3 linked regions of the Ovis aries genome follow. The protein of the gene in region 1 purifies or fractionates together with the protein of each later gene. This does not show direct contact. Links are inferred from orthologs where the notes say so. Each region holds a gene or a part of one and is shown on either strand. Other genes may lie near its edges.

Region 1 (4,312 bases):
AATGGATTCTGGCTAAGAACCTTTGAAAAATAACAGGCAAAAAAATCTGAAATATTCAACGCCAATGCGGCCACCAATCTGTGGTCAAGAACAAAATGCTCTTCTGTATGAAGTGAAGGCAGGTCCTGAGACTTATAACCAGGCCTTCCCTTTGGAAATATCAAAACTAACATAAAACAGAGCTGAACAACTAACAGTCAGAATAGGAATAAGTAGCTCTGAAGACAGCTCCAGAAAGAAAACAATGATGTCACTTACTGGACTATGAAAAGGCACTCACGGTCTCTTAACTGACTGCTTTGAAAAACAACCAGTGGATGAAAAAACTGTACGAGGGAACAGAAAATTAGGGGCTGGTCCTCAGAGGCACAGAACAGCACAGAAAACGTGTGCTGGTGCTGGCATTTTGTATTACAATTAGGTCTGCTATTATTTAATTTTTCTAAAGACACAGGAGGAGCATTTTATAAATTACAAGATTAAATAACCTATGGTAAAAAATAAACGGGGCCTGAAGGCAAGTCCAACTCAGTAAAGAACTGGGACAGTCAAGAGCTTAAAAAACTAAAATTAGATACAATGGTCTCACTCACTCACAGCTTGGGCAGACTGATGGACCCTGAACTTCTAGGTTCTTTCAAGTGAGGATATTATTGCAACCCAGGAGTTAGTTTTGGATGCTGACTCATAGAAGGAAGATGAAACCAGATAAAGAAGTCTCAAGCAACAGTGTGGAGGAAAGGCAAAGTTAGGGCAACATTTATATAAGATAACTCTCCTGATGTTCTTTCCAGGTCTTGAACATTATCCATGATAAATTCAGAGTCCAGGCTTAGGCAGCAGATTGTGAGGATTAATGAAATTGAAAAATATTAGGCTGGATATTCACATTAGAAAATAGAGGCCATAATTACATTAAATGTTGGCAAATGTAAAAACTCATTTAGATGTTTAAAGCTCATTCTCCGGAACTCCATAAATTTTGGTGTGTACAGAATTCAAAATTGTCAACTTCAAGAGGCAGGATAATTTTACAATTATGTTCCTTTCAGTGGGTTAGGAAATGACAACAGAAGTAAAAGTTCATTATTTATGTTGTTTGTGGAAGTAAGAAACATGCCATCATGAAAAATGTGTACTTTTGGAAGGTGAAAATTATCAAACTTGTGGACTTCTCTTCAAGAGATGAAAAAGGAGACAGAGCTACTCTTCCACTTGTAGGTAAGTATAGGGTGATGTTTAGGCTTTGCTTTCGGAGTTATCAAAGCAATCAGGAAAAAAGGGGAAATCATCAGACATAGTACTTTGTTATTTTGAAAGCCTAAATTAAAAGTACTTTGGAAAAAAAGTTTCAGAAGATGGTGTTTTGAGGTCATCTCAGCCCCAGCATTCACTAGCAAGCTTCTTCATCCCAAAATGTAAGTGTGTTTTGAAAAAGACAAAGAAAGCCTCGGAAACCCGAGGCAGTACGCGAAGTCCTGAGGCGCGGGTCCAGTTCAAGAGGCAAGTCTTGTTCAAGATTTTCAAGATCCACGTTCTCTTCTTCCAGCCCTTCTTTCAGGAACTCAAGCTGCCAGTCGGTGCAGGAAAAGGAAGATGCACATACAGCTGTTGCCAGTTTCTGAATTGCTGCTGTTGTTACTTTGAGGATAGGAGCAGGGGATGCCTTCTCATTTTCGCCCAAATTTCCTCCAATCTCAGGACGCAGAGACTCGGAATTCTTGCCACTCCCTTCTCCAAGAACCTACCTATGCAGCACTCACAGCCCCTGCCAGCTCTGGAAACTGCAGAGATCCCGGCAGCCAGGGTTGGGGATTGAATCCTCTCATTGGGATGCAATTGAGCGGAACCACGACCACCACACAGATCTGCTGACAACACACATTTCCAAAAAAACCCAGCGGTACAAATTTTGACAAGCCTTATCCAATCAACAGGCTCTACTCTAGATTCAGTGGTTTTTGTTTTTAAATTCTGCTATGGGGTAATATAATCAGCAACCAACTTAGCCATCAGGTAGCAGAGAGATAAGATGGTTCTCCTCTTCTGCCCGATAGAAAAATTAAGTGAAATCTACTAGCAACAGCTTTGGGGGGGAAATGGGTCTGGATGGAGCAGATCCCACTAAGGAAGGCACGTTCAAACTGGGTCGCACGCAAAGATTACATACCACACAGGTTATTGCTACAAAGAGCCCCCAAGACCACCATTTTTGTGGTCCCCACGGCAAACCAACGGGATTCTCTTGGCAGTTTTGCAGCAACAGCTAGTTCAACAAAGCTGGGCGAAGAGGGGAAAAAAAAGAAAGCTCGTCGCATCCACTCCTGCCAGCCGCGCCCCGGCCCTCCCGTCACCCCGGCTCCCTTGCCCCTTGACAGCCCGGGGACCCTGTGTTCCAGGTCCTGAGCCGCAAGGCGGCCGCGACCCGGGTTCCCGCGTCCCGGCGGCTCCAGGCGCCCCCGAGGGCGGAGACGGCCGGGCAGGGGGAGGGGCGGCCTCGGCCCGCGGGCCCCCGGGGCGGCCGCACGCCCCCTCCCGGCCCGCACTTTCCCGCCTTCCCCATTTGAACAGCTCCCGCCCGCCTTCCTCCTTCGGCCCGCTCCAGCCCCTTCCCGGGGGCGGACTGCGGCCGCTACTCCAGTCCCCGGCTCGGCCCCTGGGCTAGGCCGCGAAGGGCCCGGGGCGCTCTCGGGGCGGTGTCGCGGCCCGAGGCGGCGGGTGGCGGCGGGGCGGGGCCGCTGCCGCCTGGGGGTGGGGGCCTAGCTCGGCCTCGTGGGGGCTCCGCTCGCCGCTACCTTCACTAGGCTCGCCCGGATCCCGCCTCAGCGCCGCCGACCGCCGCCATCTTGGAGAAGGAGAGAAAAGCGCGAGCGACCAGGGAGCCTCAGTCGAGCCCAGAGCGCAGACTCTGCTTGGGAAGGGGAATCCCGCTGGTGCAAGAGCGCCGAGCGCATCGAATGAGACGCTGGGCTTGCTGAGCCCCAGAGCTAGTCTGTAATAAGAATTTGTCCTGTGTCAGGCTTGGGCTAGAAGCTTTACGAACAGGACGGCATTTGATCCTCACTGCATCTCTGTGAGGTAGGTTCTGTCACATTTTACAGATCAGAAATGGGGTTCAGAGGGAGGGGTTAAGTGACTTGCCCAAGGATACACAGGTAGTTGGAGTGCAAGACAGGCTACCAGCCACTTCTAAGAGTTCTGATTCTTACTGAAGTGCTCTTTCCAAAAGACTCTGCTGTTTCCTTCAATATATTTTTATACAATAACTCTTGTCTTTGCAAAGTCGTGCAGATTAATACCAGTGCTGCTTGTCTGGAATTTAGCATCTGCATTTAGATGACTGGCGTATTTGGGATGAGGTAGGCAGAATATATCTTTATAACAATGCACTGAAAAATAATTTGCATGGCAAGTCATCTGCATTTCTCCCCATAAATCGTTTGCATTTCAAAGTTAGAAACAGTTTTCAGAGAAATGAAGAGTTGCTACACAAAGGAAGGAAAGTGTTTTGTTTTTTCCCCATTTTGCTCTGGGGAATTTAGATCAATGGGTAGAAGTTACAGTGTGCAGCTCTTGGTTCAGTATGAAGACGAATTAATTTTTCCAGCGCAGTTCAGTTATGTTTGACTACTTTGTAAGGTAGTGAGCTCCCTGAAGAAGCCTAAGCAGAAGCTAGTGTCATAGTTTCTGTGGAGCAGGGAGTATAGAGATATAGAATGGCATCTCAGTTCAGTTCAGTCGCCCAGTGGTGTCCGACTCTTTGTGACCCCATGAACTGCAGTGCACCAGGCCTCCCTGTCCATCACCAACTCCTGGAGTCCACCCAAACCCATGTCCATTGTGTCGGTGATGCCATCCAACCGTCTCATCCTCTGTCATCCCCTTCTCCTGCCCTAAATCTTTCCTAGCATCAGGGTCTTTTCCAATGAATCAGCTGTTCGCATCAGGTGGCCAAAGTACTGGAGTTTCAGCTTCAACATCAGTCCCTCCAATGAATACCCAGGACTGATCTCCTTTAGGATAGACTGGTTGGATCTCCTTGCAGTCCAAGGAACTCTCAAGAGTCTTCTCCAACACCACAGTTCAAAAGCATCAATTCTTCTGCGCTCAGCTTTCTTTATAGTCCAACTCTCACATCCATAAATGACTACTGGAAAAACCATAGTCTTGACTAGATGGACCTTTGTTGGCAAAGTAATGTCTCTGCTTTTTAATATGCTGTCTAGGTTGGTCATAACTTTCCTTCCAAGGAGCAAGCGTCTTTTAATTTCATGGCTGCAATCACCATCTGCAGTGATTTTGGAGCCCAGAA
Region 2 (4,111 bases), on another chromosome or scaffold:
ACCTACCTATCAGTCCAGGTAGGTATGAGAAATGAGAATGAACCAAGACAGGCCCCATTCAGGTTGCCAAAAAGATCATACTAATTAAAAAATGTGACTGCTCCCATGACCTACCAATACCAAGCAAAAAAAAAAAAGAAATAACCTAATACATAGGAAAGCTAACTAATGTTCCTAGGAAAGTGGGCTTTGTCAGAAAATAAATGATTTTGGAAAAATGCAGCTTAAAAACAAACAAACAAAAAACCATACTATAATATGAAGGAAAAAAACAAAAACTAGTCAGTGAAAAGACTGGTAAAAGATAAAATCACTGATGTTACTATCCTGAGAAAAGGAAAAATAATGAAGCCATTTTTCAATAAATGAAATTGTTAAACAACACATTTTTGGTAAAAATATGACAGGGAAAGATATTCGGGGAAGGGTCAGCTTCAGAGCCAGATGTGGGTTCTATCACAGATTCTACTTACAAGAAGACTCAATTTCCCCATCTGGCAAAAATACTACTGACAGTCAGCTGGTACTTGTTACAACATTACTGTTCATAGTTAAACTCTAATTCCACTTCACCTTAAAAACAGCAACTGAAAGGCAAAACATTTAGTTTAGGCTTTAAATTATTCCGCTTTCTGATATTTCCTTAACACTTCTAGTGAGACTGAGACTTTGGCTGCTACTCCAAAATTCGAATGATAGCCTCTTTTGAGAGGCTGACAACAGTGGACAGCAATTTGCAAAGAAGCGCGGTTCGTGCTCAGTCGCTTCAGCTTTGTCTGACTCTGCCACCTCGCCAGGCTCTTTGTAGCGCGCCAGGCTCTTCCGTCCATGGGATTCTTCAGGCAAGAACACTGGAGTGGGTTGCCATGCCTCCCCTCCAGGGGATCTTCCCAACCCAGGGATCGAACCCGCGTCTCTTTTGTCTCTTGCACTGGCAGGCGGGTTCTTTACCGCTAGCGCCACCTGGGAAGCCCTGAGAACTGCGTATTTAACACAACTGCTTTCAGTGTCAAACTTTCAAAGCCCCTTAAACAAGGAAGCGGGAATCCAAGTTAACCCTAGCAATTCAAAACAATCATTTAAAACCTAAAGAAAAAGAAAACAAGCAACACTGACATGAACTGAAAACAAATTTCAAGTCGCTGAAAGCTATAGAATACCAGAGGTCCTATTCCACCAAAACCCACCCTTACCTTTAAAGTTCTTTCAAAAACTAATAACACGTTACCTCACCCTAGATAAGGCCGCTAGTTACACAGAGTAGGACTCCACTGAACTGACTTATGACCTAGTACAGCACCCAAATAAAACTACTGAGCCAAATGCTCTATGGTAAACTGCCCTGCCATTTCCTTATCGTGTTAATTCTGCAGCAACATTCCCTTTCAGAGCAGTATTACCTTTGCTCAATCTATCCAAGGATGGAAAAATTCCAGAAATCTCTGGGTTGCGACTATAAAATATCTCAAAACAGATCGAAGGCCAAGAATAAAATTGGAAGGAGCAAGCAACACTTTGTTCCCAGACATCGCAAAACCTTGGAGCACACCCAAAAGACCCGCCTGGCAGTTCCCCAATCTCTCCACCCTCGCAGTACTGTTACCATTCCCTGACCCACCAGCCCCAGCCCAGAAGGTAGGGAGCCATAGAGAACGGTACCAATTTTCAAAATAAGGCCAAGGCCCCCAAAGAGGAAATGCGCTGGTCTGTAAGCAAACTAACCGCCCCTCACTCACTAATTCATTCATCCATCCATCCATCACTCCCCCCACAAAATGAAATGGGGGTTCAAGACAGCTGCTGCCGCCGTGGTCGCTTCCCTTCCCCACGGAACAGTGCCTGGGAGGAGCCTCCTCTCCCTCCGAGGGAGCAGCTGTGCCCCGCTTATCCCCACTGCGCCCTCGGCCATCCAGCCCTCGCCATTGTTTCTGCGAAACAGATACCGCCCCCGCAAAGAACGGGATGAAGAAAAGGAGGCCCAAGCCCTCGGATGCGCTGCTTTTAAATGCCTTCCCCACCCCGCCTGTCTACCCCCGTACCTAGAGGGAAATTTCCCTCGCCCTCTCCCCAAGTTTAGCGGAAAGTAAAATCGAGATTCAGAGATGAGCGAGGGAATTATGGGAGTCCAGCTTAAAAAAAAAAAAAAAAAGGGTAGATCTTCACTCGGCCTCAGTAATCAAGAACATGTGTCTAATAAGAGCGTTCGAGGATTTGGCAAGGTTCGCCAAAGAGACAAATAATATAAACGTGAAGTGCCAGAAATCCACTTGAGGTTGCCTGGATTGCTTACGCGCAAGGGTGAGAGCATCATTTCCGACCCAAACGGTCTGAGGCCGTGTTGGAGTGCGAAGGGGTGAAGTTTGGCTCTGCGTCTCATCACTAGTACAGAGGCGAGGGAACCAGTTCCTCCTCCCCATCCTGCCCTCTTTCCACACCACGAGCCGCCCTCACCTCCATCTCCGAGTCCGCGGGGCCGGCGCTGGCCACGGAGGGAGCCGCCTGGGCTGCGACGCCCTCGGGGCCGCCTTTGTTGCTGCTGTTGCTCCCGCTGCCGGCGGCCGAGGCTGCGGGCTTGGAAGGCGCGCTCTCGGGAGGCGGGGGTGGCGGAGGGTCGGCCGCGGACGACATGATGTTCCGTCTGCGTCACCCGCTGCTGCCAGAGGCCGGGTCCGGCAGGGAGGAGGAGGAGGAGGCCTAGGCCTGGGTGGCTGCGTCGCAACGAGCAGATGGAGAAGCGAGAGGACTACCCGAAAGCCCCCTGCGCCGCGGCTCGGCGACGAGCCCAAACCAGGCCCAGCAACCTCCCCCTCTGGTCGCCCTCCTCTTCCGCGGGGCTCCGGGTTCGACCGGCGCTTTACCCCACGGCGGGAATCACGTCGACGAGAGTGGGCGGGGCCACTCGGGTCACTGAGGTCAGGGAAGGCGGGCTGATTCACAGGAGGGCGGAGGGTTGAGGGAAAAAGAAAGGAAAGCAAAGGAGGGACAGAGACTGGGAACTGGCTTAGCTGCCTCCTCTTCTTCCTCTGGTAGATATCATCTATCTCGCCAGCACTCAGTTCTACTACCTACGCCACCGACTATCAACACTCGCGAGATTGATAGTTGGCTACATGACTGGGCTCCGAGTGCGCATGCGCATTCTCCCCTCTTTGCCCTGGGCCACGCCTCCTTCGAGGCCCCAGAGAGCTCTTGGGTAAGGAATGGGCGGGGCCTCGAGGGAGAGATTGGAGACGTAGGTTTGTCCGTCGGCTTCCCGGCATGACGCGAGCGCTGTCTTCCAGGCGTTCTTAACGGCTCAGGGTCCACCGGCGCCTGGTCTGCTCTGCTTGGCAGGGATCTGCGGCACTCCCAGAAAACTTGCCCAGGTTTTGCGCCGCCTACTGCAGTATAGAGGCCTGTGCAGGCCTTAACACTTTCGCTGCCGCCGCTCATAGGTGTGACGCCAATGTGTTGAAGATGGTTTAGTTATCCCAGTTGACGTCTCTTAGGTTTTGTTGTCTAAACAAAAGGGCCCGTTGGTGTAATATTTTTTTGTCTACACGTTAGCTATAAGAATCATTTCTAAATTCCTTCTACTTCTCTTACAGAGTTAAACGATATTTTCTCTGAATTTACGTGCTAAACATAAGCAAACTGCCCATCACCATGTGAATGAGAGTCATAGATAAGAGTCATAGATAATCGGTAGATAAGAGAGGCCATGGGCTGTATCTTTTGCTCAACCACTAAATATTAAAATGTACAGACTGCTGTGCATTTCTTTCTCCTTAAGAAATACTTCGAATAATTTCCAGTGGTTACGCCTTCCACTGTCCTCAACATAGCCTGTGGGTCTTGCGCACGGATCTGCTGCAGGTTATCAAGAACATCGTGTTCTACTCAATAGAAAATCGTACTGCTGTGAATTGTTATCTGCCCTGCACAGGCTCTTATCCATCTTTGTATCCCCATATCCAGTATTCTATCAGTATGTATTGAATAGCGGAGACACACTTTTCAAGAGTTAAGATTTGAGCAAACTGTTGATTATGTTGAATTTCAAATAGAAGAGCTCTCCTTTGAATCTGTAGCCTGCAAACTTTTAACTGATCAAATGATAATTTTTAAGTTG
Region 3 (4,078 bases), on another chromosome or scaffold:
GAGGGGCTGAGCCCCGGAGGCTAAGCTGAGAGAGAAGTGTCCCCCATACTCCCGTAATGTCAGGCGGAAAGCACCAGGCTGAGAGGGAGATCTTTATTGTTTTCTGTATAAAAACGTCCATCAGTTGCGGGGGGGGACCCAGGGGTTGGGGTGCAGATGCTCATACGGGAACAGCAAGGTGGGCTGCCCCTGGCAGCCTTTCCACCCTGTCACATGCAGGCCTTGCTCAGAGTCCCAAGCGATCCACAGGTCCAGGGTGAACAGTGAGAGGGGTCAGAGGTGGAAGGCTCAGCATGAGAGCAGAGGAGGATCAGCGGAGGTCAAGAGAAGGCCAGAATCCAGGGTCAGGCTGTCTGGAACAGGAAGTAAAATGGGCCGAGATGGAGCGAGTCCCAAGTAGGACTCCCGCTTCCCCAGAGCACCTGGCTCCTTACAGACCTGACCCCTGCATGCATAGCAGGGAACTTTCTCTTCCCCAGTTCACAGGAGGGGGCTCCTGCTGAGACCCTCCCTACCATCCCCCATCCCTTCAGCTGTTGTGGGAGGAAGAGGACTCCTACCCTGGTCGAAGTTGAGTTTCTTGGCTGGAGGAGTTTCTCCTAGCCCCTCAATATCCACCAGGTCACTGTTGGCGTCCGAGTCGTTCAGAGCACTGAGTGTCACATCTGGGAGGGGGGCACAAGCTAGGTTCTAGGTTCCCTGATGGTTCTCCCCCCACCCCACCCACTTCCCAAAGTTTCAACTTCTCCTTCCCTCCCTTCCCCACCCCAGCCAGTTTCTGGAACCTTCACTGGGAGAGGAAAAGAGATCTGTCCTCTGACCAAAGCCCAACTCTCTCACTGAACCGCGGATGGGACATCTAATCCCCAGGCAGCAACTCCACAGCCCTCACCAGCCTTCTGTTTCTTTATGGGGGGACCCCCGGCCTCAGGGACACTGGAGCTGCTTGGTGGAGGAGCAGTTGAAGGAGGCGACAATACACCAGATGCCACCTTCTTGGGCCCTTTCTTGGGTGAATCGGCTGGAAGGGGGATACCAGAATCTTCATATACCTTTCGTTTCACAGTGGCCTTTATTTGAGCCCTAAAGAGACGAGAGAGCAAGTTAGGAAGGGAGTCATAAAAAAGGCTGAGAGAATAAGGGGGTGGGGGCAGGGGAGATGGGCCACTCTGAAGGAACACTGGGGAGCCCCTTCATAGGAATCCAGGTGAGGGCCTCAACGACCTTTGCTAGGGTTCTTGTTTTCCTGGAAGCTTTGCAGCCAATGAGGGCAAATGGAGCGTGAAGAGTGGAGTCCCTCAACTGAGGAGTGGGAAAGGCCCACCCCCTAATTCTCTTTTGGGAGAGATGTATGGACGTGGAAGACTACCAGGTAAGCCTGGGTGACCTACAGGTAGATTGAAACTTATTAACAGATCCTGATCGACTAGTTCAGGATCATAATATCCCTGGAAACACCACAGGAGTGTTCAAAAGATCTGTATAAATAACCAGGGAATTCCTATTAGCAAATTCAACTATTGGGTATCTTAAACTACTGGGTAACCTAAAATTAAATTCATGTAAGGTCCTGATGACCACAGCATTTTAGTAACTTCTGACCAATTGTGACAATTCTTTTATTCTTTCAGTTCTCAAGGGACTCACAGAGTAGGAAAGATGTTGAGCTGGAAGGGAGTTTGAGGAAGATGGAACAAATGGGTATGGAGGAAGAAAGCTGCCCACCCGCCCTTTCTCTGCCAGCCAGCCCTCCCTCACACTGTCCGTTCCTTGATGACACAGCTGATGTGATTAAGATCGTCCCCAAATCGCTTCACAGCAGCCCTCAGCATCTCTATCTCCGTCTCCGTCCACTTGGCACTGTCAGAAGGGGAGAGGGGAATAGCGAAAGTGGGAAGAGGAGGGATGTGGAGCCAGCCCACAGGCTACGCATTCCACAGCAACCAGCCTCCTCCCTGCAATGTCCGGGGCCCCTTCCATAAAGAGGTCCTCTTTAAAAAACAAACAAAAAAAGCAAAAAAATTCTTAAGGCCCTGTGGGAACCCTGAGGACCCCCATCCAAACGATAATGCAACAACCTTAGAAGAAAACGGCTCCCCCATCAACGTGAAACAGCTACTGTAAACAGCCCACTGAAACTAATTCAACAAGTGGGGGGGTGTCTTACCAACAGACCCCCTAAACACAATCTGTTGCAATCTGATGGAATCCCACATGATTTGGGGTGAATGGGTAGTGGTGATGGTCTATGCTCTGCCAATGCGCAGCAGGACAGAATTGTAAAATGAGTCCAGATTACGAGCCTCAGTCTGTGGTTTATCTGTCATTCATTCATTCAATAATCATTTATTAAGATCTACTCTGCGCTGTGCCAGGCACGAAGGGAAACTAACATCTGTCCCTGCCCTAGAGAGTGTCGGTGTCTGTGATCGAGTCCCAGCGTCTGATCTCAGCGTCCAGGTCCCCAGCCCGGGCTCACGTACCCCGCGGGGGAAGAATCGGCCACGGGATGCAGCTGCATCGTCAGCTCTCCGAGCTTCGTGAAGGCGGCGCCCGCCGCGGAGAAGATCTCTCCGACCTGGGGGCGGGGCAGCGTTACGGGGGGCCGGCGCACAGCCCCGCGCCGTCCCGCCCGGAGCCCCTAGCCCCACCCCAGGTTGGACTCCCGCCCGCCCCCCGCCCGGGACGGAAGAGCCGCGAGCCAACTGGGGGGCCCGCCCTCCCGTGGCCGCCAGGGAGCGCTGTCCGCGAGGGAGGTCGAACCTTTGTGGACGCTGACGTCATGGCCCCGCGCGCCTCCTCACGGAGACGCCGCCGCCGCCGCTACCTCGGAGCCGGGACCGCGAAGAGCGAGGCGGTGCAACGGCTCCAGCCCCCGCGCAGGAAGTCCCGCCCCTTCCCGCAGCTGATTGGCTCCAGTTCGGGCGCTCACCGCCTCACCAGCCGCGGTTACTCAGGCCGCCTCAGCGCGCGGGAAGGAGAGTGGAAGACACCGCCTCACTTCCGGCCCGGTTTCACTCCACTTCCGTCTAGGGGTCGGGATTCCCTATTTGGAGACCGACCTCTAGCCCGGGTACCCGCCTCCTAACCCAGACACACACACAAGTCTTAAGAGAGCAGTTTCTCTTTATTGTGGAACGGGACGAGGCGAGAGGGCCGGAGGGACAGGGAACGGCCAACCCCAACCTCCCTCCACAGAAGCCGGGCGCCAGAGGTTGGAGAACAAGGGATTGAGTCTCTCGCCAAGAAAACCTAGTCCGCAGAGGGCACCAGAATGGGAGGCGGGGGGCTGTGACCTGGGGAGAGTCTTTAAATAGAGGAGGGGGCTGGAGAGGGGGAGCGCCACTGTGCTCTAGCGCACCATGTATTCCTTGCGCTTATTGAGCCGAACTTGACAGAAAGAGAAGCCTCCGAGGAGGAGGTAAAGGCCCGCCGCGATGAAACAGTTGTAGCTGACTTGCTCGTAAAGGTTGTATATGTTCTGGGGGCCATTCCTAGGGGTGGGGATTAGGCAGAGAAATATCAGAAACATTAACAGCACACATTTACGGAACACTTACTATGTGCCCTGTACCCTTCTAAACGCTTTAATGTGTATTATCTTATTCAATCTTCATAACCCTTTGGGGGAGAGTTCTGTTATAGCATCCACTTTGCAGGGGTGGACGGAGGCACAGAGAAATCCAGTAAAATTCTTTTTTTTTTTTCTATGAATTAACTGATTTATTTTTCATAACAGCCCTATAAAGGAGGTGTTATGAGCATCCTCAAAAAATATGGAACGCTTCACGAATTTGCGTGTCATCCTTGCGCAGGGGCCATGCTAATCTTCTCTGTATCGTTCCAATTTTAGTATATGTGCTGCCGAAGCGAGCACCAGTAAAATTCTTAACAGCCACATTTAAAGCGGTGGGTTTAGGATGGTCTCTGAAGTCTGACTCCCAAGACTGTTCCCGGGTGCTAGAGAGAGCACCGTTTCCCAGCCACCGCGGCCCAAGCGTCTAGCCTCCTGCGATTCTCCGCCCCCAATTCTGACCACATCCCCTGCCTCTCCACTTACTCAAAATCTTTCTCCGTG

What was found.
Region 2: the proteins of HMGXB4 (region 1) and SMARCA5 purify together in Homo sapiens (affinity purification with mass spectrometry; 3 studies listed by BioGRID and IntAct, with this or other methods). This does not show direct contact. The link is inferred for Ovis aries from reciprocal best matches to the Homo sapiens genes HMGXB4 and SMARCA5.
Region 3: the proteins of HMGXB4 (region 1) and C11H17orf49 purify together in Homo sapiens (affinity purification with mass spectrometry; 4 studies listed by BioGRID and IntAct, with this or other methods). This does not show direct contact. The link is inferred for Ovis aries from reciprocal best matches to the Homo sapiens genes HMGXB4 and BACC1.

What each region holds. Positions count from the first base shown.
Region 1 is NC_056056.1:179,123,065-179,127,376, reverse strand, and holds the start of HMGXB4 (HMG domain-containing protein 4), read right to left. Parts: upstream 2,856-4,312; 5' UTR 2,796-2,855; intron 2,345-2,795; exon of another isoform or gene 2,281-2,344; 5' UTR 2,211-2,280; coding exon 2,171-2,210; intron 1-2,170. UniProt on the Homo sapiens protein: Negatively regulates Wnt/beta-catenin signaling during development.
Region 2 is NC_056070.1:14,460,712-14,464,822, forward strand, and holds the start of SMARCA5 (SWI/SNF-related matrix-associated actin-dependent regulator of chromatin subfamily A member 5), read right to left. Parts: upstream 2,849-4,111; 5' UTR 2,629-2,848; coding exon 2,452-2,628; intron 1-2,451. UniProt on the Homo sapiens protein: ATPase that possesses intrinsic ATP-dependent nucleosome-remodeling activity.
Region 3 is NC_056064.1:26,689,245-26,693,322, reverse strand, and holds C11H17orf49 (chromatin complexes subunit BAP18), read right to left. Parts: upstream 2,849-4,078; 5' UTR 2,785-2,848; coding exon 2,764-2,784; intron 2,579-2,763; coding exon 2,484-2,578; intron 1,861-2,483; coding exon 1,759-1,860; exon of another isoform or gene 1,632-1,758; intron 1,373-1,631; exon of another isoform or gene 1,084-1,372; coding exon 893-1,083; exon of another isoform or gene 666-892; coding exon 561-665; exon of another isoform or gene 354-560; coding exon 289-353; 3' UTR 80-288; downstream 1-79. Other genes in the region: RNASEK (ribonuclease kappa), read right to left, coding at 3,353-3,494, 4,061-4,078. UniProt on the Homo sapiens protein: Component of chromatin complexes such as the MLL1/MLL and NURF complexes.